Rattus norvegicus: one gene and its partners. The protein of the gene in region 1 purifies or fractionates together with the protein of each later gene. This does not show direct contact. Links are inferred from orthologs where the notes say so. Each region holds a gene or a part of one and is shown in the gene's direction. Other genes may lie near its edges. The genes, in order: Fip1l1, Cstf2t, Cpsf2, P4ha2 and Cpsf3.

What was found.
Region 2: the proteins of Fip1l1 (region 1) and Cstf2t purify together in Homo sapiens (co-immunoprecipitation; 3 studies listed by BioGRID and IntAct, with this or other methods). This does not show direct contact. The link is inferred for Rattus norvegicus from reciprocal best matches to the Homo sapiens genes FIP1L1 and CSTF2T.
Region 3: the proteins of Fip1l1 (region 1) and Cpsf2 purify together in Homo sapiens (affinity purification with mass spectrometry; 7 studies listed by BioGRID and IntAct, with this or other methods). This does not show direct contact. The link is inferred for Rattus norvegicus from reciprocal best matches to the Homo sapiens genes FIP1L1 and CPSF2.
Region 4: the proteins of Fip1l1 (region 1) and P4ha2 purify together in Homo sapiens (co-immunoprecipitation; 3 studies listed by BioGRID and IntAct, with this or other methods). This does not show direct contact. The link is inferred for Rattus norvegicus from reciprocal best matches to the Homo sapiens genes FIP1L1 and P4HA2.
Region 5: the proteins of Fip1l1 (region 1) and Cpsf3 purify together in Homo sapiens (affinity purification with mass spectrometry; 5 studies listed by BioGRID and IntAct, with this or other methods). This does not show direct contact. The link is inferred for Rattus norvegicus from reciprocal best matches to the Homo sapiens genes FIP1L1 and CPSF3.

What each region holds. Positions count from the first base shown.
Region 1 is NC_086032.1:34,026,517-34,032,334, reverse strand, and holds the start of Fip1l1 (pre-mRNA 3'-end-processing factor FIP1), read left to right. Parts: upstream 1-2,581; 5' UTR 2,582-2,708; coding exon 2,709-2,790; intron 2,791-3,837; coding exon 3,838-3,882; intron 3,883-3,970; coding exon 3,971-4,010; intron 4,011-5,818.
Region 2 is NC_086019.1:238,363,642-238,369,485, forward strand, and holds the start of Cstf2t (cleavage stimulation factor subunit 2 tau variant), read left to right. Parts: upstream 1-2,400; 5' UTR 2,401-2,469; coding exon 2,470-4,359; 3' UTR 4,360-5,844. UniProt on the Homo sapiens protein: May play a significant role in AAUAAA-independent mRNA polyadenylation in germ cells. Directly involved in the binding to pre-mRNAs.
Region 3 is NC_086024.1:126,912,264-126,918,043, forward strand, and holds the end of Cpsf2 (cleavage and polyadenylation specificity factor subunit 2), read left to right. Parts: intron 1-289; coding exon 290-589; intron 590-1,592; coding exon 1,593-1,727; intron 1,728-2,079; coding exon 2,080-2,172; 3' UTR 2,173-4,536; downstream 4,537-5,780. UniProt on the Homo sapiens protein: Component of the cleavage and polyadenylation specificity factor (CPSF) complex that play a key role in pre-mRNA 3'-end formation, recognizing the AAUAAA signal sequence and interacting with poly(A) polymerase and other factors to bring about cleavage and poly(A) addition.
Region 4 is NC_086028.1:38,756,485-38,761,586, forward strand, and holds part of P4ha2 (prolyl 4-hydroxylase subunit alpha-2 isoform 2 precursor), read left to right. Parts: coding exon 1-108; intron 109-3,374; coding exon 3,375-3,614; intron 3,615-4,997; coding exon 4,998-5,102. UniProt on the Homo sapiens protein: Catalyzes the post-translational formation of 4-hydroxyproline in -Xaa-Pro-Gly- sequences in collagens and other proteins.
Region 5 is NC_086024.1:46,588,367-46,593,960, forward strand, and holds the end of Cpsf3 (cleavage and polyadenylation specificity factor subunit 3), read left to right. Parts: intron 1-1,574; coding exon of another isoform or gene 1,575-1,630; exon of another isoform or gene 1,631-1,771; intron 1,772-1,789; coding exon 1,790-1,859; intron 1,860-3,245; coding exon 3,246-3,342; intron 3,343-4,224; coding exon 4,225-4,329; 3' UTR 4,330-4,407; downstream 4,408-5,594. UniProt on the Homo sapiens protein: Component of the cleavage and polyadenylation specificity factor (CPSF) complex that plays a key role in pre-mRNA 3'-end formation, recognizing the AAUAAA signal sequence and interacting with poly(A) polymerase and other factors to bring about cleavage and poly(A) addition.

The sequences.
Region 1 (5,818 bases):
TTTCTATGTTTGAAGCCTCCATTTTATCTACTTCCCTTCCAATAAGTGGACGTAACACACATTAATTAAGATATAGACTTACTGATGTGTAAATTAGAAAACAGTGAAACGTTAAGTAACATGTAGGCAAGGAAGTGACACATTGACACAATAGATTTGTTTAAAATATATGGTACTACCACATACTAATCACTGAACATTACACTTTAAATTTTAGCTCTTACCATCATTGCTTTTGTTATTTATTTATTTATTTATTTATTTATTTATTTATTTATTTATTTATGTAGCTGGCCTCAAACTCACAGAGCTCTACCTACTTTGCCTCCGGAGTGCCAGGTTTCTTGGCATCATTTTATCGGTAATTTATTCATTGTCCAATCTTACAACTAAGCACTCCTTTTCAGTACTTCTCAAGAGTATATTTCATGTTAAATTATAACATTATTTCTGACATCATTTGAAGACGGAGTCTTATTCTGTTAGCCTGAATCAACCTCTAGCCTCAGCCTCCAGAGGACCTGGAAGGACCGGGTGCACTACCAGGCCCAGGTTGTAGTCATCGTTGTCGCCACCACCATCATCATCACCACCATCACCACCACCATCACCATTGCTTAGAATAGATGGCAATAAACAATGAAGTGGCAAATGAGTATACCCAGGATAAATGTGATATTGTAGTGAGATGAGTTCATAAGATAAGAGGCAGGAGATGGTGTATAAAATCGTCAAATTACCCAATGGCAATGTTTCCCATCGCAAATGGAGAGATTAATCGTAACCAAGGAAGCATATTTATACCAGGAATTTGGTGTAGGAGGAAGGCAGGCAGGCAGGAAGGGGCCCTTTAAGGATGGTTATTAGTGGTTTATGAGCTTCTCTGCTTATGGAAATCATGTTCAAAGCTCAGCTCAAGTACTACCTCCACCACGCAGGCCTCCTACCGCGCATTCCCCGCCGGTCACTGATTCTTTGTATTAGTCTAAACAGTGCTTTGACAGACGAACTCTTTTCCACACTGGAAGGAAAAGCAATCCACTCTGCGAAAGACAATCAACCCTCTCCTGAAACCATCCAATTTTATTTTAGATGCACGAAACTGTAAAATGGAGCTAACCACGGAGAGTGCCTGCCTGCGGTACTCTCAAGCACACAGTAAACCTTCTTTCTGTTTCTTGTATCAAGGGCCAAAAAGATATGGTGCACCATACAACAGATGGAAGGAAAGACGAACAAGCTACGTAGTCAAATAACACAGCAGCATGTGGTCTAAAAGAGAGTTAGCTCTACTCTAGTCCCCTCCCCCACCCCCCAATCCTGCTGACCTACATTCTGCCTCTTGCTCTATTCCAAATACAGTTTGGTGCCTGGAACTCCTAGGTCTCTGCTTCTTTGCCTGTTCCTAATCTCCTTGCCAAGTGCCCCAATCCAGAAACTTCTCCATGTAGGGATCTATTTTTTTTTAACCACCTGATATAACACCTCCTCCCCTTTAATCACTTGGCTTCAGGTCTTTTTCAGCTACTATTATTTTTAAATCATTATCAATAAGATGGTCTGCATTCTATGTGTCGCTCTTCCATTAGAATAAAATCTTCGTGAAAGAAAGATTTTTTTTTTTTTTTTTTTTTTTTTTTTTTTTACTGCCCAACCTATATAGTCTTGAAGAGTTTCTGACACTGGGCAGACTTTCATACGCGTTGGTTGAATACAGGGAGGATTTTACAGAGGAGATTGTACTTAAAAGTTGAAACAATACGAGAATTTCCTACAGGGGAACAGGGCATAGCAAACAAGAGTGAGCGCAAAACTAAGAATTAAAACCCACACGATCTAGTCAGAAGGTCGGCTCTCCCCCATCAATCACTAATTAAGAAAACGCCCTGCAAGTTTGTCTACAGCTTGATATTATGGAGGCATTTTTTCAACTGAGGTTCCCTCCACTCAGATGACCAGTTTGAGTTACATTAACATAAATAAAACTTTCAGGCCACAGAGTCTCCCAATGTAGCCTGAAACTCACTAAGTAGTCCAGGTAACCTGTCTCTGCCTACCAAGTGCTGGAATTAAAGGCATACTCCACTATGCCGGACACTAATAATTTTTTAAACAAAGAGAATGCATCCTGTATATATTAATTTTTTCTTTTGTTGGTTGTTAAAATTCGGACGAATTGACAAGTATGATTGTGGGTCAAGCAAACACGTGCGGGATGATGGCCTTCCGGATTTTAAAACGAACAAATAGTGGAGGGAGAAAAGCAAGGACAGAAAAGAACAATGGTGTAGCAAAGGGAACTTGGGATTGGAAGGAAGGTTGGGGGAAGGGAACTTCAAAGAACACCAGAAGGCAGAGAGAAAGCTACTGCGAGAAGCAAAGCTGGAATCCTAGGGGTGGGGTGGGAGGGGGAGGAGCCAGTGCGCGGCGCCTGCGCAGCGAGAGGCCCAGGTGCTTGCCGCCGCGGAAGCGAATCCACCTAGAGACGCCGCGCCGCTTGGATACTGCTGCGCATGCGCAGGCGGACCAGTTGCTGAATATTCACGGTCGCCGCCTCCGCCGAGGTCGACCCTGGATTTGAGTCTCGCGCTCTCTTCGTTCGCTTACCAGCGGGTTCCCTCCCCTTCTCGCGCCCTGAGACGGCGAGGCTGGGGAAGGGGTTGAAAGGGGCTGTTGATCGTCGCCTTTAACTTGTTCGAGGGGCGGCCATGTCGGCCGGCGAGGTGGAGCGTCTGGTGGAGCTGAGCGGCGGGACCGGAGGGGATGAGGAGGAAGAGTGGCTGTATGGCGGTACGGAACTTCCTGTCTGTCTCCCGGGTTCTCTCTGGCCTTCCTCCCGGCGTTTCAGGCCCGGGCGTCCGAGGCCTCTCGTACTAGCCCTGGCAGGCCTGCGTTAGGCCGAGTGCGGCCTGCTCCGGGCCCTCGCCCGGACCCGCAGGCACTCACCGCGCGGTGGACGCGGGCCAAGGAGGCCGGGCAGCCCTGCTTCGCCCTCCTCCCCACCGTCCCGGCCTCCTCGCTTCTGCGCTCTCTATTCATGCTCTTTCTATCGATCCTGAGCTGCTTCGGTGTCTCTTGCTATTGGGTGCTCCTCCTCGTCCCTTTCTTTCAGAAACAGTCATTCTGTAATAACAGCTAAATAAAGTCAATGCTATTAAACTAATGTCTTGTTTCTTGATGGTCAGTTTGTATGGAATGCACCTGCAAGGGTACCTCCTTGTCTGAAAGTCGTGCTTTAAAAATATTAATTAAGAGAGACAGAGGTGGAGAATACACTATGGTCAACCCTGAGTTGTCTCCTGTATTAAGGTGAAGTTTTTATTTATTTATTTTTTTAGAGACTGCTCTATAGTCCACGTCATAGTTGTACCTCGTGACTCTTCCCGTAGGCTTGTATTCAGTGTTTTGTATTTGTGTCCCCAAATTGAATGCATCATGTACTTTGTTTTTGTAGAGGACATGTTTGATGTTTAAGTCGTAATCCGCCTTGGCTCTTTGTTACACCAGATTTGAAAGTATTTTGTTATTTCCCAGAACATACATTCTTGACATAAATTGTCATAGATTACATAAAAGTGAACGTTGGAGTCTAAGCAGCCTTTTAGTGATGTAACTCCGATCAAATTGTAAAGTCGATTATGTCTTTAATAATGGAAAGACAGCATTGGTACTACCCTTAAAACGTGAAAGTGTGAGGTTTCTTTTACGATGATGTGTAAATCCTCATCGCCTCTTAAATTAAGTTTACATTAATAGCAGTAAAGTCGTGTTTTTTTTTTTTTTCCATAAGAGATGTGTCTTGTTTATAAAGTGATCTAACTTTGGCTATGCTCGCAGGCCCGTGGGACGTGCATGTGCACAGTGATTTGGCAAAGGATCTAGGTTAGTGCTCATGCTCTTCCCTTCAGATTTTTCTACTTGTTGCTTAAGCTTGGTTTCCTCATTTACTTTATTTTATTTTATTTGGTAGATGAAAATGAAGTTGAAAGGCCAGAAGAAGAAAATGCCAGGTTGGTGAACTCTCCTGTTGATGCCCTACACAGATGGTGATTCTAGGATGCCGTCAGTAGTTTTATTATAATCCTTGGTGGGATTGCATTTTGACCAAAGGTTAAAGGACCTTTCCTATTTCAGGATCAATTCTGTCTTGCTTTCTAGCAGCTTATAGGACGGTTCTTGGAGTTAGGTATTTATTTGCCAACCTCTCCCCCTTGAGTAACTTTCACCCTTAACTGGGCTTAGCAGTATATACAGTGGAGTTGGGTTTTTGTTTTGTTTTTCAAGACAAAGTTCTCAGTGTAGTGTGTCTACCCCTGGCTGTTCTGGAACTCACTTTGTAGACCAGGCTGGCCTTGAACTCAGAGATCCACCTGCCTCTGCCTCCCAAGTGCTGGGATTAAAGGCAGAGCAACTACGCCTGGCTGAATATGGTTGTTAAATTACTAAGAAAAAAAATAATTTTCTGTAAGAAATAAAATAACTGAAAGTTGTTGCTTTCATAATTTATTAGTGTTTTTATAGTATCCTTTACTTTTGGTATAGTTTTTTTTTTTCTTTTCTTAGAAACAGGCTCTTAGTGACAGGCCTGGAATTCCCTTTGTAGACTAGGCTGGCCTTGAACTCAAAGACATCTGTCTGTCTCTAGAGTGCTGAGATTAAAGGCATGTGCCACAGTGCCTATGCTTGGCGTGGCTTTAGTGCTTTGTATTTTAAATTCATAATGGAACTAGTTTTTTGGAAGGAAACTATGCTTACTACTATACCATGAACAGAATAGATTTTTTTAAGTTGGTTGTTATTATGCAAAACAGTATTTTTACAGTGTCCAGGGAGCCAAACATTCACTCAAAATTCCACAACTAATGCATATAAGCACATGGCTAAATTGGCTTGCGTTTGATCAGGTGACTGTCTGAAATAATGAGGGAGGAGTGGTCTTAGAGCAATTAAGGGCTGGAGAAATGGCTCAGTTGGGGACATGCATGTGGCATAAGCATGTGGACATGAATGACTACATCCTAGGAGAGATTAGACAGGATGATCTCTAGTACTCACTAGTTCCTCTATACTGTTAAACTCCAGGTTCAATCCGAGACTGTCTCAGAAAAGAAAGAAGAAGAGGGATTGGGAAGATACCTGATGTCTCTGGCTTCCACATGTATTATATATACAAAACATTTAAAGAATATTAAGATTTTCAAAGTGGAGGGGTTAATGCTTCATACCAAGCATGATAGCTATAAACCAAAAGGCAAAAGAGCTATAATGAAGATATGGAGAACCTGGACTGTTTGTACACTGCTGCTGCTATTGTAAAGCGGTGTCTCCTCTTGGGAGCTTCCTCAAATGTTTAAACAGTTAATAATTAATTAAGCAGTCCTACTCACTTTAAATCAGAGAAGTGGAAGCTCACATGAACACAAGTATTTGAACATTACTGTTCTTAGCATCAGTCATAGCTAGTCCATAAAATGGAAATGACCTGCCTGTCTACCAAAACAAAATAATAGGTTCAATGTAATGCACCTTTAAGGAAGTGTCTCCTGGAAGGAAGAAAATTGAGTACCGACTTGCTATGGTATGAGTGAACACCTGAGCGTGTGTTAAAGCAAAGAAGCAGCTACAAAGGACACAGTTTGATTCATAAAGTTTCCAGGATAAGCAAATCCATAGAGAAGGAAAGATCAGTATGTGAGATAGGAGAAAACGGGGATGACTGGTGATATATACTTCTTTTGGGAGGCTATGTACATAGTCTAGGATGTCATAGCATAATTATTACACTGTGAGCAAAGTATATCCCTTTAAGTATAGTCTT
Region 2 (5,844 bases), on another chromosome or scaffold:
TTAGTTTGACTGATAGGTCCCCAAAGTAATCCAGAGTAAGAGTTTAAACACCATTTCTACAAGGGACTAAGGTGACAGTATTTAACAGCGATAACTGTTAAAGTGTTGAGGGTCTCTCTGTGCCATCACTAGCCTGGGACTAGAATAGAGAGCAGGAAGTATCTCAAGTGCTGGGATTAAAGGTGAGCCACCATGCCCAGTTTGTGGTGAATGTTTTATTTAATGTTTTAATACCTTTAATCAGTCAGGTAAAGTCAAAGGCCTGTGGTGTTTGCCTCTAATCCCAGCATCCACTGGGAGAAGCAGGAGGTTTGCAAATTTGAAGACAGCTTGACCTACATGCCCAGTGAATTTCAGGCCACCCTGGCTGCCAAGGGGCACCGTGTTAAAACAACGAAACTAATTTTAGTACACCTGATATCTTAATTTATTGAATTAATTGACAACTGAATGTAAAAATGTACCATATACAGATTTCTTCAAAACATAAGCCATAGCCCTATTCTCTTAAGCCCAGCAGTTGGGAGGCAGAGGCAGGTGGATCTCTGAGTTCGAAGCCAGCCTGGTCTACAGACTAAGTTCCAGGGCTACATAGACAAACCCTGTCTCAAAAAACAAAAACAAAGCCAAGGGGCTGGAGACATGGCTCCGTGGTTAAGAGCACTGACTGCTTTTCCAGAGGTCTGGAGTTCAAATCCACATGGTAGCTCACAACCATCTGTAATGTCTCTCTGGTGTGTCTGAAGACAGTGACAGTGTACTCTAAAAAACCAAGAACAAACCAAAATATAAGCTATGATGTTTTTGGATTTTTTCCAAGTTAGAGCTATGAAAATTATGTATTGGTCATAAAAAAGGCAGTATTCAAAGTATAAAACTGGCAAGAATTTTGTTTTATACATTTCTAGTGCTTAGTCTTCAAAATTCTGAATGCATTTTATTTATACAGAGAACATTGGTTACAATGCTAAACTTTAATTGATAATGCTTGTGTTTATTCAGAATCAATGACATTTTGTCATAGGACAGTACCCTGCGCCCAATGTCTACATTGGTTTAATTGTGCTGGAATTAATTTTAAAAATAAGAAACATTAAAATTCAACTTCGAAGACGCAGAGTAGGAAGACTGCTCAGTGGGTAAAGCACTGCCCCTGTGTATCAAGTTTGATCCCAGGGTAGAAGGAGAGAACCAACTCCTGCGAGTAGCCCTTTTGATCTATATAGTCCACAACTATAAAAGTCACACACACACACACACACACACACACACACACACACACACACACACATCTAAATAAAATGTATTTGTTTTAAAAGTTCTCATTTTATGTAGCTCTGGTTGGCTTGGAACTCAATATGTAGGACAGGCTGCCTTTGAATTCAGTCTTACAGTACTATACTGGGAACCCCGTCCCCCCCCCCCCCGTCTTATTTACACACACACACACACACACACACACACACACACACACACATTATATATATAAAATATATGTACATTATATATGATATGATATACAGTTTAGCTGGGTGTGGTATTGAGTCCCAGTACTTGGAAGGCATAAGCAGAGGATCTCTGAGAGTTGGAGGCCAGCCCAAGCTCCAGGACAGTCAGGATTACATAGAGACCTTGTCAATCAATCAATCCAATCCCAACTACCTATATGTGTACGATAAAAGTTAAATGAAATCGATTCATCCATACTCTGCAGTCATACTTTTTAGTTAATTCCACTTTAGCATTTATGTCGCTTAAAATTCGTAAGAGGAGGGAGGAATGATCACAGCCTGCACACACAGAAGACACCGGGAGGATCCTGGACCTAGTAACAGTTTGAACATGCCAAAGCGTTAATTTATCTTTGCGAGAATTATTTTTTAATGTTTTTAAGATAGTTTAAGGGACAAATATCAACATTTTACCTCAAAATCTTGAATAAGATTTAAAATATTTCAAATATTCTATGCTAAACGAAATCAGCTGTGTAAACACACGTATCAGTAATTAAAACATTAAGCCTTAAATCAGCTTCCGGTTGGCGGTTTCCCGCAGGTGAAACGCAATGAAAACCGCCCCCAATGAGCCGAGACGCTGATGCTGCCCGTAACCATAGTGAAGTCCGATCGGCCATTTTTAATGAGGTCAGTTCTAATGTATCCGGCGACCGCAGGAAGGGAGAGAGGGGGGCGGAACGCGGGGGAAACTCGACCAATAGGATCATGGAAAGGAATCCCACTGTCAGTAACTAGGCGCGTAAAGCAGAGCGCACGGCCGGGGGCGGAAGGTGCAAGATAAATTAGTCCGGTCTCAGGAAGCAGTTTCTGCGGCCTAGCGGAACTATGGATTTCTAGCAGAAAGATTTCGGTCCGGAGTTTGGTGTCTGCTTCCGTTACAGAGCGGAAGTGTGGTTCACCAGAGGACGACCCTTGGACGAATTTACTCTCCGCTAAACGCTCGGCAGGAATCATGTCGAGTTTGGCGGTCAGAGACCCAGCCATGGATCGATCACTGCGTTCGGTGTTCGTGGGGAACATTCCGTATGAGGCGACGGAGGAGCAGTTAAAGGACATTTTCTCGGAGGTTGGTTCAGTTGTCAGTTTCCGTCTCGTCTACGATAGAGAGACAGGAAAGCCCAAGGGTTATGGCTTCTGCGAGTACCAAGACCAGGAGACTGCGCTTAGTGCCATGCGGAACCTCAATGGGCGAGAATTTAGTGGGAGAGCGCTTCGGGTGGACAATGCTGCCAGTGAAAAGAACAAGGAGGAGTTAAAAAGCTTAGGCCCGGCAGCCCCCATCATTGACTCACCCTATGGGGACCCTATTGATCCAGAAGATGCTCCAGAATCGATTACTAGGGCAGTCGCCAGCCTGCCCCCAGAGCAAATGTTTGAGCTGATGAAGCAAATGAAGTTGTGTGTCCAAAACAGTCACCAGGAAGCTCGAAACATGCTACTTCAGAACCCACAATTGGCGTACGCTCTGCTGCAGGCACAAGTGGTGATGAGAATCATGGATCCAGAGATTGCACTGAAAATTTTGCATCGTAAGATCCATGTCACACCACTGATCCCAGGCAAATCACAGCCTGTCTCTGGGCCTGGCCCTGGTGGGCCTGGTGGCCCTGGTGGCCCTGGCGGCCCTGGCCCCGGCCCTGCCCCTGGCCTCTGCCCAGGACCTAACGTCATGTTGAACCAACAGAATCCTGCCCCTCAGCCTCAGCATTTACCAAGAAGACCTGTGAAGGACATTCCTCCTCTGATGCAGACCTCGATCCAGGGCGGAATTCCAGCTCCGGGGCCAATACCAGCTGCAGTTCCTGGACCTGGACCTGGTTCCTTAACCCCGGGAGGAACCATGCAGCCACAGGTTGGCATGCCAGTGGTTGGTCCAGTGCCCTTAGAGCGAGGACAGATGCAGATATCAGATCCTAGACCTCCAATGCCTCGTGGACCCATGCCTTCTGGTGGCATCCCTCCTCGAGGACTACTGGGAGATGCTCCAAATGACCCGCGTGGAGGAACTTTGCTCTCAGTGACTGGAGAAGTAGAGCCCAGAGGCTATATGGGACCACCCCATCAGGGTCCTCCAATGCATCATGGTCATGACAACCGTGGCCCTGCCTCACATGATATGAGAGGAGGACCGTTGGCAGCAGATCCCAGAATGCTGATTGGAGAACCCAGAGGTCCCATGATGGATCAAAGAGGTCTACCTATGGATGGTAGAGGAGGAAGAGACTCTCGAGGGATGGAGGCCCGGCCCATGGAAACGGAGGTCTTGGAGCCACGAGGAATGGAGAGAAGAATGGAGACCTGTGCAATGGAAACCAGAGGGATGGAAGCAAGAGGCATAGACGCAAGAGGACTGGAGATGAGGGGCCCTGGCCCTAGTTCCCGAGGTCCGATGACTGGTGGGATCCAGGGTCCTGGCCCCATTAATATGGGGGCAGGTGGCCCTCAGGGACCTCGACAGGTTCCAAACATTGCAGGAGTGGGAAATCCTGGAGGTGCCATGCAGGGGGCAGGTATACAAGGAGCAGGAATGCAGGGGGCAGGTATGCAGGGAGGAGGGATGCAGGGGGCAGGCATGCAGGGAGGAGGGATGCAGGGGGCAGGCATGCAGGGAGGAGGGATGCAGGGGGCTGGCATGCAAGGAGCCAGTAAGCAAGGTGCGGGCCAGCCTAGTAGTTTTAGCCCGGGGCAAAGCCAGGTAACTCCTCAAGATCAAGAAAAAGCAGCTTTGATCATGCAGGTTCTTCAGCTGACTGCAGATCAGATTGCCATGCTGCCTCCTGAGCAAAGGCAGAGCATTTTGATTTTAAAGGAACAAATCCAGAAATCTACGGGTGCTTCTTGAAAGGTTTTCAGCTAAGAAGTACTTAGTTATTCCTTCAGGGTTTACTCTGTGGCATGAAGTGGGTGCAAAAAGCTGTCTTCTGTGTTCGCACACTTTAACCATTTAAGGTTTCCTTCTCCCCAGACCTTAAATCTTATTTCTAGTTTTGTTACTTTCTGTTTTCCTTTTTATTTTTTGATTGAGGGGAGGGGGTGGAGGGGGGGGGCCTGTTTACTTTGTCACTGTTGACTCTACTGGGTACCCTAAAAATGACTACATCATACAAAATAAGGTTATGAGGAAAATGCGGCAATAATTTGCACTTTTGTTAACTGTGTTTTAAAAATACTGAGTAAACTGGGAACTACATAAAAATTGAAAGTGGCTTGTTACAGTATTGATATACTAAGATAGTTTAAAGTTCTTTGGTTGTATATTGAACTGAATGTCAGAATGTTAAGGTACACTTTTTGGTAAAAGAAATTACTATATTTTGGAGGCAGCAGAGTACTGTAGTAAGGTTAATGTTTAGTTATTTTGGAATTATTTTGAAATATTGGAGCTAACAGTTTGTGGTGTAGATGTGTGTTTTTTTAAAGCATTGTTATCTGTAAAAAGATAATTTTCATTTATCTGACTTTTTTTTTTTTGAGACCATTAATATTCTTGCCTGATCCCAACTGGTAATTTTGCAGGATAGTTGTAGTGTCAGCTGAATTACATAAAACCTCCTTCTTATACATTTCTCTAAAAAATTCTTAAGGCCCAAGTCTGGTTGTAAGTAGTTTTTTCACATCCTTTTAAAGAATCAGACATGAGGTTTGACTTTCTTGAGTAATGGAGGTTTTTGGGGTTTTTTTGTTTTTGTTTTTCAGTAAAGCTCCCAAGTTCTTGATAACCTACTATCCATTCACAGATGGAATCCATTAGGTCAGCAAGAACCAGAAGTTAAAATCTTACTCTATGCCTTTTGATATGTCTTACAGTTTGATAACTTTCACAAACTACTTTTCTATCATCACCTTGCTAGAACTGGGGCCCAAGTGAACTGACAACTCTGCTCAGTTAACTTAATATGTTATTTCTCACAACTCACAAAAGCTCTTTGGTCATAACGTAGTTCCCATGAAGTGTGTTTGAGAATAAGGAATGTGGAACTTAATCCATTTCTTTTAGAGCTACTGTATCATTTTCAATCAATGTGGCACCTGGACACGGTGTCATATTTAGATAATGAGCAGAAACAAGCACAAGCTCCCACTTGACCAAGTGGCATTCCTCTGTGGAAAAATAAATACCCACCTACAGAGGGATGAGCAGCCTTAGGGAGGGAGCTGACCCAAGGTTGTTTTCCCTTGCAAAGTTTGAGCATTTTTGAGTGTACAGAGTTTTCATTCCTAGGCTATTTTCCAGCCATTTAGTTTTTGTGCTAGTGTTAGACTCCTGTGGTTTCCTCTGCCTCCTATGCTGAGGTGGGTTTGTGGTCTGTACCTTTGTGCTAGTTCT
Region 3 (5,780 bases), on another chromosome or scaffold:
TCAGTAATTACACCAGAAATAATAGAGGTGTCATCCAGTGTCATTATCAGCGAGGGCTGGGGCCTTCCATGTGATTCTGTCCTGTAGTCATATTTAGAACCTTGTTTTAGAAAGTGGCCAAGGATCCTCAAGACCTTACAGATCACTTTGTCATTGTGAAGATTGAGGATCTGAGGAGAGGGTTTTTTAGATGTTGATCATATTGCCAGAGTTGGTTAATGGTAGTGATTGTGTTTAATCGGTTACCTGTACCCTGTGGTTTTCCCTTCCCCTCCCCTCGCGTGTCCAGGTAAGATTAAAGGACTCACTTGTCAGCTCGCTTCAGTTCTGTAAAGCGAAAGATGCTGAGTTAGCATGGATAGACGGCGTCTTAGACATGAGAGTCTCCAAAGTGGACACGGGAGTTATTTTAGAAGAAGGAGAACTCAAGGATGATGGAGAAGACTCTGAAATGCAAGTGGATGCTCCTTCAGATTCCAGTGTCATAGCCCAGCAGAAGGCCATGAAAAGTCTGTTTGGAGATGATGAGAAAGAGCTGGGTGAGGAGAGTGAGGTCATCCCCACACTGGAGCCTTTGCCACCTCATGAGGTGAGAAGCCTGTGCCATCTCTGCGTCTGTTTAGTGGTGCTGGATTGATGGGGCCTCACACGTGCTCACCACATGCTCTGCCGCTGAGCTACATCCCCGGTCTAACTGTCTCTCCATTGGTTGTTCTTCTAGCTCCCCGTTGTGGTTTTAGCCATTTAAACTACATTGTATGGGGGCCAGTTTTGGAGTTCTTAAAAAGGAATACCCAGGATATATGTCTGTGTATCTTGATCTCTGTAGCTAGAGAATGATAATTTAAAGGAAACCTTTAACATGTAACATGTTCTCAGGAGGGACTTGGTTAATTAGAAAGGCTTCTGGGTAATGACACTAGAGCAGCATCAATACCGTAAGAGTCCTACAGACGTGTCCAGTGACGCCTTTAGCCTGCCGAGGGGTTGGGATAAGGAGATGGCCCCTTCTATTGGCCTCTGAGCTAGCACGACTCTTGAAATTCAGGGGAGACGTGAGGAGGCTTTTCCCTGTGCTACAGCGACAGTGCTCTTCAGAACACTGTCAGAGCAGCAGCACTAGGCAAACCACTCGCTTTTCTGACTCTCAGCCCGGAGCACCCATCACGCTCACTCTGGGGTAGGAGGGAATGTGGAAGTGGGATTAGGGACTTAGCCTCTGAACTAAGCAGGGGACTGGGTCCTGGGAAATGAGGTTCAGTTCCATTCTGCCTCTTGATACTTCAGTTGACCCCTCCAGCAAGTGGGTGAGTGAAGAGCATAATATTACCTTGAGTCTCTGTTATTAGGAGGCATGAGTAATAAAATGGTGAAACATCAGAAGGTGTGAAGGGCTCTGTAATGGTGAGTGACAAAGTGAACCCAGAATAATAGACTCAGAATGTTATTTGCAGTCTTGAAATGATCTGTCAAAGGACTTGAGGGAATTACTAAAACTATCTTAGACATCGTGCAGTGTTCTACTTTATCCAGTACAGCTTTGTGTCTACCGTTCTATTGAAGTCCCTCTTTGCCCTTTGACCTTATTCAAGGTTCCCGGACACCAGTCAGTTTTTATGAATGAACCGAGACTGTCTGACTTCAAGCAAGTTCTTTTGCGGGAAGGGATTCAAGCGGAATTTGTAGGGGGCGTACTTGTCTGCAACAATCAAGTAGCAGTCCGCAGAGTAAGTTTATTTTTAATAAGGGCTGGGTTGAACGAGTGCTTCTGAAGCTTTATCATAATTCTGTAGTCTTATAAATTCATAAAACTGAAAACCATCCTCAATGATGGCTGTAAAGGCTTATAGCAGTGATTCTAATGAATGGTGCATAGTTTTATAGTGAATTTTTATATTTGAACCCTCTGACATTTACGTGTCTGTAAAACCCATTACTACAACCTTTTACCTACATTCAGGAGTCAGGGCAACCCATTTCCTGACCAGTCATGAAATGGCCCACGTAAATGTTGCTTATTGTTTCTGCGTGTTGATGAACGGGAGATGTACTAAAGAACTTTTAAAACTGTTTTTCTAGACAGAAACTGGACGCATCGGGCTAGAAGGCTGCCTTTGTCAAGACTTTTATAGGATACGAGACCTTTTATATGAACAGTATGCCATTGTGTAAAGGACGTCATGTCAAGATGTGTCTGCTTGACCTTTCTCAGGAAGAAAGGATTCTCATCTGAGGCTAAACTTTTGCTGTCTTGTTTTGTAACATACAAAAAGAATGTGCCAGAAAACGTGAGCATGTGTTAGATTTTGAAAAATATGAATCAAGGGCCTGGGGTGTAGCTCAGTGGTAGAGCTCTTGTCTAGCATGTGCAAGGCCCTAGGTTTGATTCTCTGTACTGAATAAAGAAAGAAAGAAAATGTAAATAGAACCCATTTTGTAAATGCTCTTGCCTAGCTCTGAATGCTAGAGGCCCAAGGAAGAGACAGGCCCAGGGCTGGAGGGGATTGGTTTCCTCTGCAGATCCTTGTTCCAAGGGCTCATTACTTGAAGAAGAAGAAAAAGGAGAAACAGACAGACAAACAAAAGGAACAGTGCAACTTAGCAAACCAGTTCATGGCCTTACAGAAACTGGTGTGCATGCATTTGTTCAAGCAGTTTTTTGTGTTTTCTGGAATGAGAAGGGAGAAATTGTATAGAGAGAATATGCTATGAAAGATAACAGAAGCTTTGTGAAACATTTTTATTGAGAATGGGTGTGGCGGTGCTGCTCCTCTTGACCTCTGATATGCAACCGCTCCACACGGAGCCCCCGCCCTCTACTTTCAGTGCGGTGTGAGGCAGTACACAGCTAGTTTAGAAACAAATTTTTATTTCTCCCATTCCTTGTTTATTAAGATTTTGTTGTTATTCCATTTGAATTTATGACCTCATCATTTGAATAAATGTTATCTAAAAGAAAGCCTCTAAGCTGAGTGTGGTACGTGCACTTCTAATCCCGGAACTCAGGAGGCTGGCATAGGAGGATTGGAAATTAGAGGCCAGCCTGAGCCGCATGGTGCGAGCCTGTCTCAGCCAGCAAAAGGAAAGCCTGGTGTGTTACCAGTTCTGCATATATTTCATTTAGACTCATCTTAACTATTGGTCCAGTAACTGTATTTGAAACCATCCAATGCTCTGTTGTTTTTTGTTTTGTTTTTTTTTTTTAAAAAGCAAATGTGGAGCCTCACATTTTTATAAGGTAACAGTGTGATTTAATTAAAGGGTGTAAATGTTTTCCTTTCCCAGCGTGTTTTCTAAGTTTATGTAAACAGCGGTTGGATTTTATGCTTGTTACTACAAAAACAGTACTGAACCCGGGTAACTGCCACTCTTGATACAGCACAAACTCTGTTCGAGAGTAAAAACTGAAAATATGTAATTCTGTTGACTTGAGCTGTGAACCATGTTGTCCTATTGTATCTTGTTGGTTTAATTTTTTAGAAGGTAGCTTAAGCAAGGCTGTCCTTGATGCCTTCTTAAGCATGGAAGCCCCTTTCTCTGCACTTAGCATCCGGAGAAGCCTCACTCTTGCTTAACTTTGGAACTGTATATTTCAGCCCAGTGATCCGCTATCGGTCTAGAATTAGTCTTTTATGCGGTTTCATGAGCTGAGAGAACCTTCAGCTGTGGATTGCAGCACTGAAGCAAAGTTTGTAGCCTTTGGATCCTGAAAACCAGATGTACAAAATAGCATTGCAGAGATGAGTGTAAAAGAACGTATTTTCCTTTTAGCAGTCATGAACCATTCCACTTGCTCCTCTTGCTATATAGAGGAAGCCTAGAATTCAATTTCTATTCCAGGGGAAGAAACCCTGCAGTTACATGCTATAAAGCTCTGGATATACCTATTATGTGGTAATACCTATATCTAAAATTATTTCTTGCCTAACCTTCCTGCCGACCTACGAGCAGGAATTAGATGTTAAAGTACCCCTTGAAGAATGGCTGTCATACAGCAATGCCACCGGAGAGCAGCACTGCTGCCTGTGTCTAGATGACATCATCCTAAACCCCCTGAAAGGGAGGCCTTCATTATTGCCCCAGCTACTTGAGAAAAACATGACTTTCAAAGACAACAGTGGGATAAGTCACGAGAGCAGAGAGGGTCTCAGATGCAAGAATAAAAAAAAACCACACAGCATGTGAGACATGAGCTGATATCTGCAGATAGTTTTCTTAAAAAGAAATTGTATCTGGTCGCAGTGACACATAACCTGGAATTTCACCTACTTCATTCAAACTTGGCTTAAGGCCAGTCTGGACCACATACGACCCTGCCCAAAAGAGGGAGAAAGGCGTTGGGGCTATAGCTCAGTGGAAGAGTCCTTCCTACTGGCACGTGTGAGGCCCTGGATTTGACCCAGGTCTGGAGGCCGAGGGCCTGCTTTTACTGAACTTGTTGCAGTGTGGTTATACTTGTCAGGCGTCTTTGCACTTATTTCTATATTTTTGTGACTCAGTAGGTGACCTGAGACAATAGAGAAGAAATTAGTTTGTTCACCTTTTTTGTGTGTCTGTGTGCAGTTTACATACCATAAAATATTTACTCTTTTTAAATATGCAAGTCACTGGTTTTGGTCAAATCTACAACCATTTCTATGTAATTCCAATTTGTTTTTTCTCATTCCTAAAAGAAACCCAGTAACTGTTTGTACCCCCATTTTCTCTTCTCTCTAGTTAATCGTCAGTCTTTCTGTCTCTCCTGGACATTTCATAAAGAATCATGTAACACGTGGCCTTGTGTGTCCTCTTTCATTTCAATGAACGGTTGTTTTCAGGATTCGTTAATGTAGTAATGTGTTAGCATAATTTTTGTCTGCTTTGGGATGTGGTCTTGCCTTGTATAGCTCAAGCTGGTTCAGACTCATAATCCTCCTGCCTCCGGTGTGCTGGGATCATGGCTGTACACTTCAGTGTCCATTTTATAGTCCTTTGACACTCCTTTGGATGTCACGACTGTTCTTCAGCCAATGTACATTGAGTGGTTCCCAGTGGTCTTGGCTGCTATAAAGAATGTTGCTTTGAACATTCTCGTACAAGACTTTTTTAAAAAGAAAAAGAATAAATAAACATTTGTGTATTTTCTTGTGTGTATGCTCAAGAACAGGATTGTTGGTCCATGTGGTAACTTCGCTTAACCACCTAAGGAATTGTGTATTGTGAAGCAGCTACACTGTTTCCGTGTTCCGACCAGCATATGTGTAAGGATTCCATTTGTTGCTGCACGGGTTGTTGATTCTGTCTTCTGTTCTCACCACACTCAGCCAATGAGGAGGCACTGCCTGGAGGCTCTGACTACATTTCCCTAATAAATAAAAGATGCTGAGCATAACGTGTCTCTTGTGCTTATTGGATGTTTTATATGTCTTTGGAGCAACATCTCCTCAACTCCTTTGTCCGTTTGCTGTTTTATCTTTTTCGTTGTTAAGCTTGGTATGGTCTCTAGATATTTCTGTATGTGCATGGTAAATACTCCCATGGCTTGTGTTCACTTTGTTGGTCACTTGATGGGAAACAAAGTTTATAATCGCAAGGTCCATCCCGTCTCTCTCTTCAGTCGCTTGTGTTCTTGGTGTCATTCTTAGAAAGCATTTTCTTTTTTCTGAGTGTTTTAATGTATTTGGGGGGGAGGGGTAGGTGTAGGATTGCCGTAGGGTGCATGTGGAGGTCAGAGGACAATTTGCAGGGATCGGCTCTCTTCTTTCACCATGTGGGATCCAGGGATCAAACTAAAGTTGTCA
Region 4 (5,102 bases), on another chromosome or scaffold:
AGTTCTTCCCCACTGACGAGGACGAGTCTGGAGCTGCCAGAGCCCTGATGCGACTTCAGGACACCTACAAACTGGATCCGGACATGATTTCTAGAGGGGAGCTTCCAGGTAATGCAGCTTCCTTTGCTCATGTCTTCCCAGTGTCTGGGCAGGTCAGACTGGCTTAGGTGCACGTTGGTGTCGGTGCAGATCTTTTGGCTTTCCCTTCGGTGCCGGTCTTCCATGCTTCAACCCCTACCCCAACGTCTTGATTCAGATATTAGCCAAGACCTCTCCTCTGGTGTAGTAGAGAATTGTAGCTCAGGAAACTCCCCGAACATCGCACTCCCGGAGGATGGCTTACCTGCTTCCATCCCTGAGCCTCGCATTGCTTTCTGTCATGGCCGATCTGTAGACTTGCTGCTTATGTCCCACTGACATTTAGTCTGCTCCCTTTCATTCAATCCTTACTTCTCTGGGCTCTCTCCTCGAGTTCATATACAGTCCCCCTTGGCCGCTCATTTCTTGTTTATCCCCCTTTCCCTGTTCTCTGTCATCTGACTTTTTATGAAGTCTCTGTGTTTGCCCATCTCTTGGATTTCTACCCTAGACCCAATGTTCTTTTGGGCCCATTCTCCTCTCCTGATGAGGGTGCTGGGTAGTGATTTATTTTCCCTGGTTCCCACATGCTCCTGAGCCGACAGAGCCTTTATGCCTTCTGTCTGAGATCCTGTTCTTCAAACTCACCAGGAACACTGGGCCAGTAAAGCCAGCTGGTGGATTACAGGTATAACTTCAACCTCACGGTAGCATCTGGCGCCGTTCACTTCTTTCTCTCTGATGTTCTAGATTCTGGGTGCTGATCTCAGATTTTTCTCTTTTGACTCATCTGATAATTCATCCCTCGGCTTTTGTTTGTTCTTTAAATTGGCTTTTTAAATTTTTCTTGCTTAATGCCCACTGCTAGTGGTTATAAGATTTGCTGGCCTTAGGGGGTTATTTGAGACCAATATTCCCAAGGATCCAGCTGGACCTCATTCTTGATTTAAACACTACCTTACTCCTTGGGAGCCTAGGGGAGATATAGCAGAGAACCCACGGGTGGTAGGAGCTGCCTTCCTTCTTCGATGTCCTGTTACTGGTTAGTCAAGGCCCAGGCTCTTGGTATGGAGGACTCTTCTGAGCTGATAGGGAGGACTGCTCTCTTTTTTCCTGCTTCAGTCAGGTGTCGGGCCAAGCCCAACTATGAGGCCAGAAAGAGGAGGTAATTCTGGGAGGCTTTTTGACTTGTAGCTCGGAGGCATGGTTGGCGGTAGAAGGGAGCTGTATCCTGACAGCATCCTTCCACAGTGAACAGGCCCCTGGGTGCCCTGAAGGGGTCAGAGGGCAAAGGGAGTTACTGTCCAGAACTTCACCCGCTATTCACTCTGAGTCCTTCCCCACGGAGGCTCCTGGTTGCCATCCCTTGATGTGTTGCAGATCTGTGTTCCTTGTCAAGGCCTGCCTCCTGGGCTTCCGGCCAGGATAGGCCAATGCCTGTAGACATCTCAACTTGGACATTCTATAGTTTCCACAAGTTTCATATATAGTTTCATCTGTTCCAAATCGAAATTCCCATCTGGTTTTGAACTGATTACCCTTAGTCTTTATCTATTAGCTTAGGTGCAAAAATCACCTCTGCCCATTGGAAGCCTAAGCCATAACCGTAGTCTATGGATTCTGTCTCTTTAATGCCCTCTGACCCTTTTCATATCTCCAGCTTATGTGGGATAATTTTCTGTGTTATCCACTTGAGGTCAATGCTCAGCTTTCACAGTGACCCCAGAGTCTCCCTCTAGGTGGTCTTTGAGGTCCCACTGCCTCCTTGGCTTCCTTGCCTGCTGTTCTCAGCATCCTCATCCCTCTGCTCCAGTACTCTTACCCCTTCTGGGCTCCTCCCTGTCAGATAACCCTTCAGCACACAGCTTAGCTGTGGAGGACTCCACAGGGAGTTCAGGGAGCAGACACTTGAGTTTGCTTGTAGAGAGGATGCTGAGTTCTGGAAGTCATTCTTCACATTCCTGGCATTCACAAGACATGTTGCTTATGGCTGCTGGTCTTTAACATCCTGAGGCAATGTCGTCATAGGTCATCCCATTGAACTTTTGGCTCCAGTCCTTTAAAACTGATGCTGGCGTCTCTATGTAGATAGATATCTGATTAGAAAGGGGACTGAGTCTGAGGCTGGGTAAATTGCCCAGAGTCACACAAATGGTAGGTATTCAGTAAGGTCTGCACATCCAGGCCCCATCTGGGTCCAGACCACAACTTATTTATGTATGTTACACATCCTGCCCACAATAGGTTCCTGGGCCCAAAGAGGGGAGATTCAGGGAGACTTGTGGAGAGAGGAAAGGGGCCCCGTAAGTCCCCTCATCCTTGGCCTGCTGATGACTACACCTTGTGTTTGCTCTCTTGACATCCCTATCCCATGTTCCTTGAGAAACCTACCCCAGATCCTGAGCCACCAGGATGAACAGAGTCTGGTCACTGCAGTAGGGTTTCCTTCTGGGAAGATGCCCATTATGGACTTTAGGCAAAGAGAGTGATGTGCCAGCAGGTCGAGCTTTCCAGCCACGACCAATAGCACTTAATAGGGAGATTCCTGTGGTCTGCAGGGAGGTCCTAACCCTCCTTGTTCTGTGGGACCTGCCCTCTGGTTATTCTCTGAGGAACACACAGTCTTTGCCCTCCCAAGCCTCTCGTAAGCTCTGCGTCTTCCCTAGAGCTAATACTGTTTCTCAGGTCGGAACTGTCTTTGTGGTCACTTTCCCCAGCAGATGTCCCATTAGGCATGAGGCTCACTGAGCCGTTGCTCTAACATCCCTACCGGACTGCAGCCTTTGTTCTTTGTCCCCATTGGTGTCTGTCACCTGTTCCTCTTAGTCACTGTTCATGCCACTCCATCTATGTTCCCTGAGGTCCAGCCTTGAACCTTCTCTGTTCGTTCCTCCTTCAGACTCTTCCTGCATGTCATGGCCCTCACGTAGAGCTTTCATGCCGCCTGAATTCAGCCACGCTTCCTGCTTTCAGAGTTACACGGCGGCCATCTGCCCTCCAGACTATGCCGCTGACCTCAGGGCGGCGTCTGGGTGGGATTTCTGAACCCCCTCTCACAAAGCCCCTTCCCACTTGAGAGGAGGAGTCTGAGCCTTAGCCTATGAACTCTAACTTGAGCTAAGCTAACCTGTTTATGTGCGTATGATGACATTTCATGGTGCATGGCGTGAAGTCCAGGTGGTATTCTGGCTTGGGTCATGTGCCCCTTTCAATGATCCAGGCCTTTTCTAAAGTGAGCATCTCCCTTCTTAAGCCAGCATCCTTTCGGAATCCGATGGTTGTTTTTCCTGCTTCAGGAACAAAGTACCAGGCCATGCTGAGTGTGGATGACTGCTTTGGGATGGGCCGCTCAGCTTACAACGAAGGAGACTATTACCACACCGTGTTGTGGATGGAGCAGGTGCTGAAGCAGCTGGATGCTGGGGAGGAGGCCACTGTTACCAAATCCCTGGTGCTGGACTACCTGAGCTATGCCGTCTTCCAGCTGGGTGACCTGCACCGTGCGGTGGAACTCACCCGTCGCCTGCTCTCTCTTGGTAAGGGGGTTAGGGAGTTGGGGTAGCAAGGGAACTTGACTTTCCCACCTGATCGTCTCTTGGAACTAAATCAGTCCGTTTGTTACCTGGAGGGTGACGTGTGTCTTCCATGATTTCAATCACTGAGTAGCTTCTTGTACAGACTCCTCATATTAGGATGCCCCTAGCATCCTTGTGTGCATGTGCGTGTTGCTCATGTGTGTGGTACGTTCATGGGCATGCGTGTGCGAGTGCGTGTGCACATGTGTGTGTGCCATGGCACTTTTAAAAATAAGGACCTAGTGTTGTGGTGCTTGTACCACTATGCAGGGTGGACCCCTCACCATGTTAACTATAGCTTGAGAAGTAAGCTGTCCCCTACTTCCGGATTGCCGCAGTGACAGCAGTTCCAGCTGAGGTCTAAAGTGGGACTTACCATGCCATTTGTCTTCTGTATGTCTTGTGATGTGGGACAGAACAAGACCCAAAGCTCCGAGTCTCTGAAGCGCCCCGAGTTGCGCCTCTTACTAATACATGGAAATGTGGTTGCCTGGAGTTTCACAGAGCAGCGAGGACTTGGCTTTTGGCTTTGCCACTGCTTTCTGGGGGCTCAAGTGTGAGGTCAGCTCCCATTTGAGCATCCCTCAAGACCAACAAGGGTAGAGGGTTTTATAGATCCCATCAGGTGAGTTAGTAAGAGGCTTGGACAGGGCTCAGGACATCCTGGTTCTCCTCCTGTGTGGAGAAGTCACTGAACATCTCTGGGACTCACTCAGTCTTGCTGTCCTGGAGAGTGACGTAGAAATCCTGCTGTGGTGGTTGCTTCGGATACTGTGATGCCCACCAGAGCTGGGACTCTTCTATTTTTAAATAAAGAGTCGTGGTATTTAATTAATTAATTGTGTGCGTGTGGTGGCGGGGAGGGGGTGTCAGTGTACAAGTGCCACAGTGTACCTGTGGTCAGAGAAGAACTCTCTCATCTCTTGTCAACTTGGTCCTTTCTTTTCACACCGCATGGGTCCTGGGAACTGAACTCAGGTTGTCATGCTTGGCAGCAAGCACTTTTACCTGCCGAGCCCTCTGGCCTGCCTTGCAGCCCTTCTCTTTCACCAGTATCTCAGCTTGCTAGACCTGGCTACACTCTGGGGAATGGGTTTAAATAGCTACAGCTAATGACAGGGAGGAGGCAGAACTCAGAACACGAGGGGCCTCCAGGAGGCTTGAGAAGGTTTCCCCTCCCCCCAGTTACTAGCTAAATGTGCTTCCCCTGTCGCTGGAGTGACGAGCCCAGGTTAGGTGCTGCAGCCAGCAGAGCGTAGCATACCAATGGGAAAGAAATGGCTCGCAGGGCAGTCTCCGTGGATGACCTCACAGAAGTCTGTGGTTTTCTTTCCCTTTTTCTAGACCCGAGCCATGAACGAGCCGGAGGGAACCTGCGGTACTTTGAGCGGCTGTTAGAGGAAGAAAGAGGAAAATCATTGTCGAATCAGACGGACGCTGGACTAGCAT
Region 5 (5,594 bases), on another chromosome or scaffold:
TCAAAGGAAGGTGCTGAATAGAATAGGGGCCCCAACAGAGAGTACCCATGCCATGGTTGGCAGCTTGTCCTGTGGCTGCAGTGTACTACAGTGTACATCTCCAGAGTGCCACCGGCAAGGAGCCACCCTGGTGTTCTTGGAGATGTCGCCCTAGATGGACCCTTCACGTGATGTCAGAGCCCGTTCAGTATAGGTTTGTTCCCGCCTCAGGGGCATACAGTGGGCAAGAAAGTGGAGCTGGTCGCTTCCTAAGCCTTCCTGCATTGGCTCCTCTGGCACATGAGTAAACAGACAGGCACATCCAAATCCTCTGCTACTGAATACACAGGCCTGGTGTGTGGGAATCGTCACTTGAGCCTCTGGTGAGCATTTGGCTTGTAAGGAACGGCGGCGTAAGTCTTTGCTGGTTCTGCTCATCCTGGCCTTCAGCCCTGTGAGCAGTGCTGCTGCTGCTCTCTGTGCTCCGTGTGGCTGATGTAGCTCAGTGCTGAGAGTGAGCGGTCGCCTGATGTGATCCCAGTCCCGGAACCCAGCCCAGACTGAGAAAGGTTTCAGCCAGGCATGGTGGTGTACATTTGACAGAAAGGGGAAGGAGGATGAGTTCAAGGCCAGCCTCAGCTACATAGCAAGTTTGGAGCCAGCCTGGACTATACAAGAGACCCTGTCTCATAGAATCAAAAGCCAAAAGCAATAAAAAGAAGCCGGGTGTGGTGGCACATTCCTGTCATCTCCACACTTGAGATGCAGAGGAAAGACAAATGTGAACCCAGCCTGGGTCTCGACAGTAAGACATCGCCTCAGGGGAAAAAAGGAGTTTGTGCACATGTATGCACACTTCACAGGTCCTGAGGAGGGCAGGGCTAGATGTTAACTGTCCACCCTCCAGGGAAGCAGAGGCCATGAATGGTGCTTTCTTATGTAGCAGGTATTAGCCAGGGAGGTATATGTGGGTGTGCCAGGGTGACCTAACTCTGGCTTCAAGGCAGCATATCTTTTGACCACCAAGTTGTGTATTTCTTGGGGTTAAAAAAAAACTAATTATTAATAGGGAGACACCCTTATGTGTATATATTTTTAGTTCTGTGTATTTATGCATGTGAGTGCAGGGCCACTGTAGAGCCCACAGTGGTTAGACTCCCTGGAGCTGCAGGCCGTTGTGAGCAGCCCCATGCGGGTGCTGAGAACCTAACTCCGCAAAAGCAAGACAGTGCTCTTAGCTCCTGAGCTCTCTCTCCAGCCTGAAGACTTTATTAAAACATTCACAAGCAGATGATGTATGTTAAAACGAACATAACATTCAGATACAAAAGAAATCTTTGGGGGCTGGAGAGATGGCTCAGAGGTTAAGAGCACCGACTGCTCTTCCAGAGGTCCTGAGTTCAGTTCCCAGCAACGACACGGTGGCTCACAACCATCTGTAAGGAGATCCGATGCCCTCTTCTGGTGTGCAGGAAGACAGCTACAGTGTACTTATATATAATAAATGAATAAATCTTTAAAAAAAAAAGAAATCTTTGGGCTTAAATGTATGCTCTGAAATTGTTGAACCTATAATGTTGCTTACCTCTCTTCAGAGTGGAAGTTTGAGAAATATGGAAGCAAAAGTGAACTGAGAGGTCAAAGGACATGAAATAACACAGTGCACATGAATGTGCCTTAGTGGGCAAAGAGACATATCACAGGCTTTTACTATGAAGTCTCCACGGCTACTTCAGGCCTCCGGAACTGTGCTGGGACCGGTGTGCTGACCGTAAGTGGGAATATGGAGGCTGATGTGTCTGTCTTCCAGGTGCAGTGCAGAAGGTCTCTAAGAAGCTAGAGATGCACGTTTACAGCAAGAGGCTTGAGGTCATGCTCCAGTAAGTGAGGGGCCGGGCGGGCAGCTGTGCAGCTATGTGGGTGGAGTCCCCATGCTGCCCACGTACCCAGTCATGTCCAGGTTCACACTGTATTAGCGCTGAGTGCCAGTGCCCTGCCTGGTCTGTGCCCTGCCTAACCGGCCTTGGGGGATGTTTAGGAAGCTAACAGAGTAGTCCACTGGATGCCAGAGTCTCAGCCCAGTGTCGCCGTGCCTTTAAGAATTATTTTAAATGTTTGCTCATGTGTGAATTACTTGGTAAAGCAGGTGTACTAGACTCCTGAGTTTCTGACACTGGTGTCTTTCTATAGAAGTTCTTTAAGCTTCATTTAGGATGCTCTTCCAAACAGTCTTAGAAAAGTCTCTTAATAGTAGATAGCTAACTTACAACTTCATCATCTAACGGTGTTGAATGAATGAATAACTTAGTTTTTCATTTTAGGCAATTGCCTGCAACAGACAGGGGGAAGAAAGATACATTTTGCCTTATAGTTTCAGAGGGCTCTGCCATAGCTAGGTAGCCTTGGCTTTGGCCTCATGTGGAGAATAGCATCATGGTAGTGGGACAGTGTAGTAGATGAAGTTCACCTGTATGTTCTGTGCTTCAGAGTCACAGGCTGTACCCTGAAGAGTCACAGGCTGTACCCATCAGTCATGCTCCCAGTGACCAGCTTCTTCACCTAGGCCTACAGCCTGCTTCTCAGTGCACTTGTGGCAGTGCCCGGGTTCTGAGTCTGTCAGAGTAGGCATCAGTGGATTAGGTCAGAGCCTATCAGCCGGTCGCCAAGCACATAACATTGAGCCTGTGGGAGATGCTGCAAGTTCAAACCCTGACAAAGACTGCTTCTGCCTTCGGATTGAAATTGACCTAATTAGACATCTTAGTATTTGGAAGGTTTTTGAGTTGCTTACATTTTTCTAAAATTTCATACTGAAATTTTAATAATGGCTTTTTATTGTTTTGTTGTTGTTTTGTTTCATGTTTTAGAGACAACTTCACCATATTGCCCAAGTTAGTTCCAAACTGGAAGGCCACAGTCAAGTATGTTAGAGCTGCGTACAAGTCAGCAGCCATTCTAGGCACCTTAGTGAGACTCCATCTCAGGATAGAGTGCATGGTGTGCCATGTCTCTGCCTAGTGTGCGCAAGGCCTCAGTCTTAATCCTCAGTATTAAATTAAAAACAAGAGCAAAACCAGAGCTTGCTAAGGCACAGTGGAGCACCATCCTGGGCAGGCTGTTTTAGTAAATCTATAGTCAAAGGAGCAGCACATCTCCTGGGCAGCCAGAGCATCCGAACACGGAGGAGTTAGAGGAGGACTTGCACCTTCTCCCTAACAGGTGAAGTTGGACTTTCCCAGTAATGCCAAGTTTCTGTTCACTTACAGGGACATATTTGGAGAAGACTGTGTCAGTGTGAAAGATGACTCTGTCCTCAGTGTCACGGTGGATGGAAAAACAGCAAATATTAATTTGGAGACTCGGGTATGTAGCTGTCCGTGTGTCTCAAGACACCTGGGGCCTGGGGTGAAGACAGGAATCAGGCTGCAGCTGGCAGTTAGGTGCTGCAGCTTGGTGGCTGAGGTATAGCTCGGAGGGTAGGTGCCTCCGTAGCGGAAAGAAGCCTTGGTCCCTGGAAACCGAGGTGGGCAGTGTGGAAGTTCATGCCTGTATTCCCAACACCCTGGTCCCTGGGCTTTTCTTCTGTTTTGTTTTATAAGATAGGTTCTTATATATAGTCCAGGCTGGCCTTAGCCTTACGTGCTGGGGTATCAGGCAGTCACCACTAGACCAGCTTTAAAAAAATAACACCATAGCCTAGGCTAACCTAGAACTCTGTAGCCCAAGCTGGCCTGGAACTGTGTTTTGTAGTTGAGCTATAAGACGTGAGCTCCCTTAAGCTGGGTGGGTGGTGTAATGCATGTGTGTCAGCCACAGCTCAGGGAGCTGAGGCAGAAGATCCCCAGCTCCAGGTCAGCCTGAGTTAGAACAAGACTGAAGTTAGTCTGTATAGTGAGACTAACAGAGTCTTTAAAAAACAGTAGCAGCAACAAAGCAGTGGCTGTTGCATGGTTACAGTCAAATTAGCACCAAATGGTGAACAATTCAGCACATCATTGCTGGCTAAGTAATCCATGCCACACAGGCTAACTTGCCTCGAAGGCTGAATAGAATAGGGCTTTGGTCCAAAGCTCTGTGCGTGCCCCCCCCCCCCTTGGCTCTCCAGTCACTATGTTGACAGAGATAGTGCGGGTGACAGGAGGGTAGGTCAGTGGCTCACATCCTGGCGATCAGCCTCCAGGGCTTAGAGTGTTCATTTTCGTCCAGGGGATAATTGTAGGCTGACGTCAGTGCTTTCCCTTTCAGGCTGTAGAATGTGAAGAAGGAAGTGAGGATGATGAGTCCCTCCGAGAAATGGTGGAACTGGCCGCCCAGAGACTGTACGAGGCTCTGACGCCGCCAGTGCACTGACAGCCTTGCCTCCCAGCACTCCACCTTTTACACTTGGCATTCACTTGGGTTCCTTCAAATAAAATACCTTAGTTTCTCTGGGGTGGCCTGTTACTTTTGCATCTGATGGCGACTACTGCTAGACCACCAACTAATTTGCCCACTATTCTCGAACCAATCATCAAAGGAGCTACTTATTGATCATTGGTTTGGCTTCGGGCATTTATGCAGTGTGTGCTGAATGGTCTGTACTGGCAAATCTATTTTCAGTTGAATGCAAACGTGCCTTAGCTTTGAAACCTGTTCTCCACCCCTTACCCAATTCCTTGGTTTGTGTCTATAAAGCCACCACTTTTAGGACTCATCTCTTTGTACGGGATCTGACACATTTTATGTCTCAGATATATTGTGTGGATTAGTTCATTAGTCTGATTTTCGAAAGTACATAAAATTCAGGCTTGAAAGTAACCCAATTGAAGGGAAAAGGGATTAGATTTCAGTGATGTTATTTCTCTGATGGTGAAATTAGCCAGTTCAAGCCAGTTCAGGTATATATAAATGCATTGGTCCCAAAGATCAAGAATAGGGACGTTGCCATGAGGAGAAAGGAAGGGAAAGAGAGCATGGGGAGGAGGGAGGGGTGTCTGGTGTACTACCAAAGAGCCTCTGGAGGAAGGGCAGCCTAGCCCCTGGGACTGAGGGATGCTGGGAGAACCCTGAGGTCAGGTCTGCTATAGGTAGGTAAAATATGCACTTCAGTCCCTTGTAGGAATTGCCTCACCTTCAGAGCACACTATCAAACCAAAGAGCCTCACCCATGTAGCCTGTCTTGTCTACCTCCCCTCTTAGGTGTGTAAACACTCTCCGGTGCTTTGCTAACAGTGTTAAGTCTGACTCTTCCTTAAATGAAATTTCTATAAAAACAGCCAAATTCCCATGTCTTTGGCCTATACCAAAAGCCCAAGGCCCCCATGACATGCAAAAAATTATTACGGTTTTTTTTTTTTTTTTTTCGGAGCTGGGGACCGAACCCAGGGCCTTGCGCTTGCTAGGCAAGCGCCCTACCACTGAGCTAAATCCCCAACCCTAAATTATTACGTAAGCTAAGTATTTCAATTTAATGCTGGGGCACAAGGCTGTGGAGTCAGGAGGTCTGCGGTGAGGGTCCCTGGACAGCTCTGGCTTTTAAGTTGTGTTTTTACTGTGTCCATCAAGGCTACTAACCAAGGAAAGGAAGTTCCCACTTGAGAGTGGCCAGTGATGGACGGGTGCTCCAGCTGTAAAAC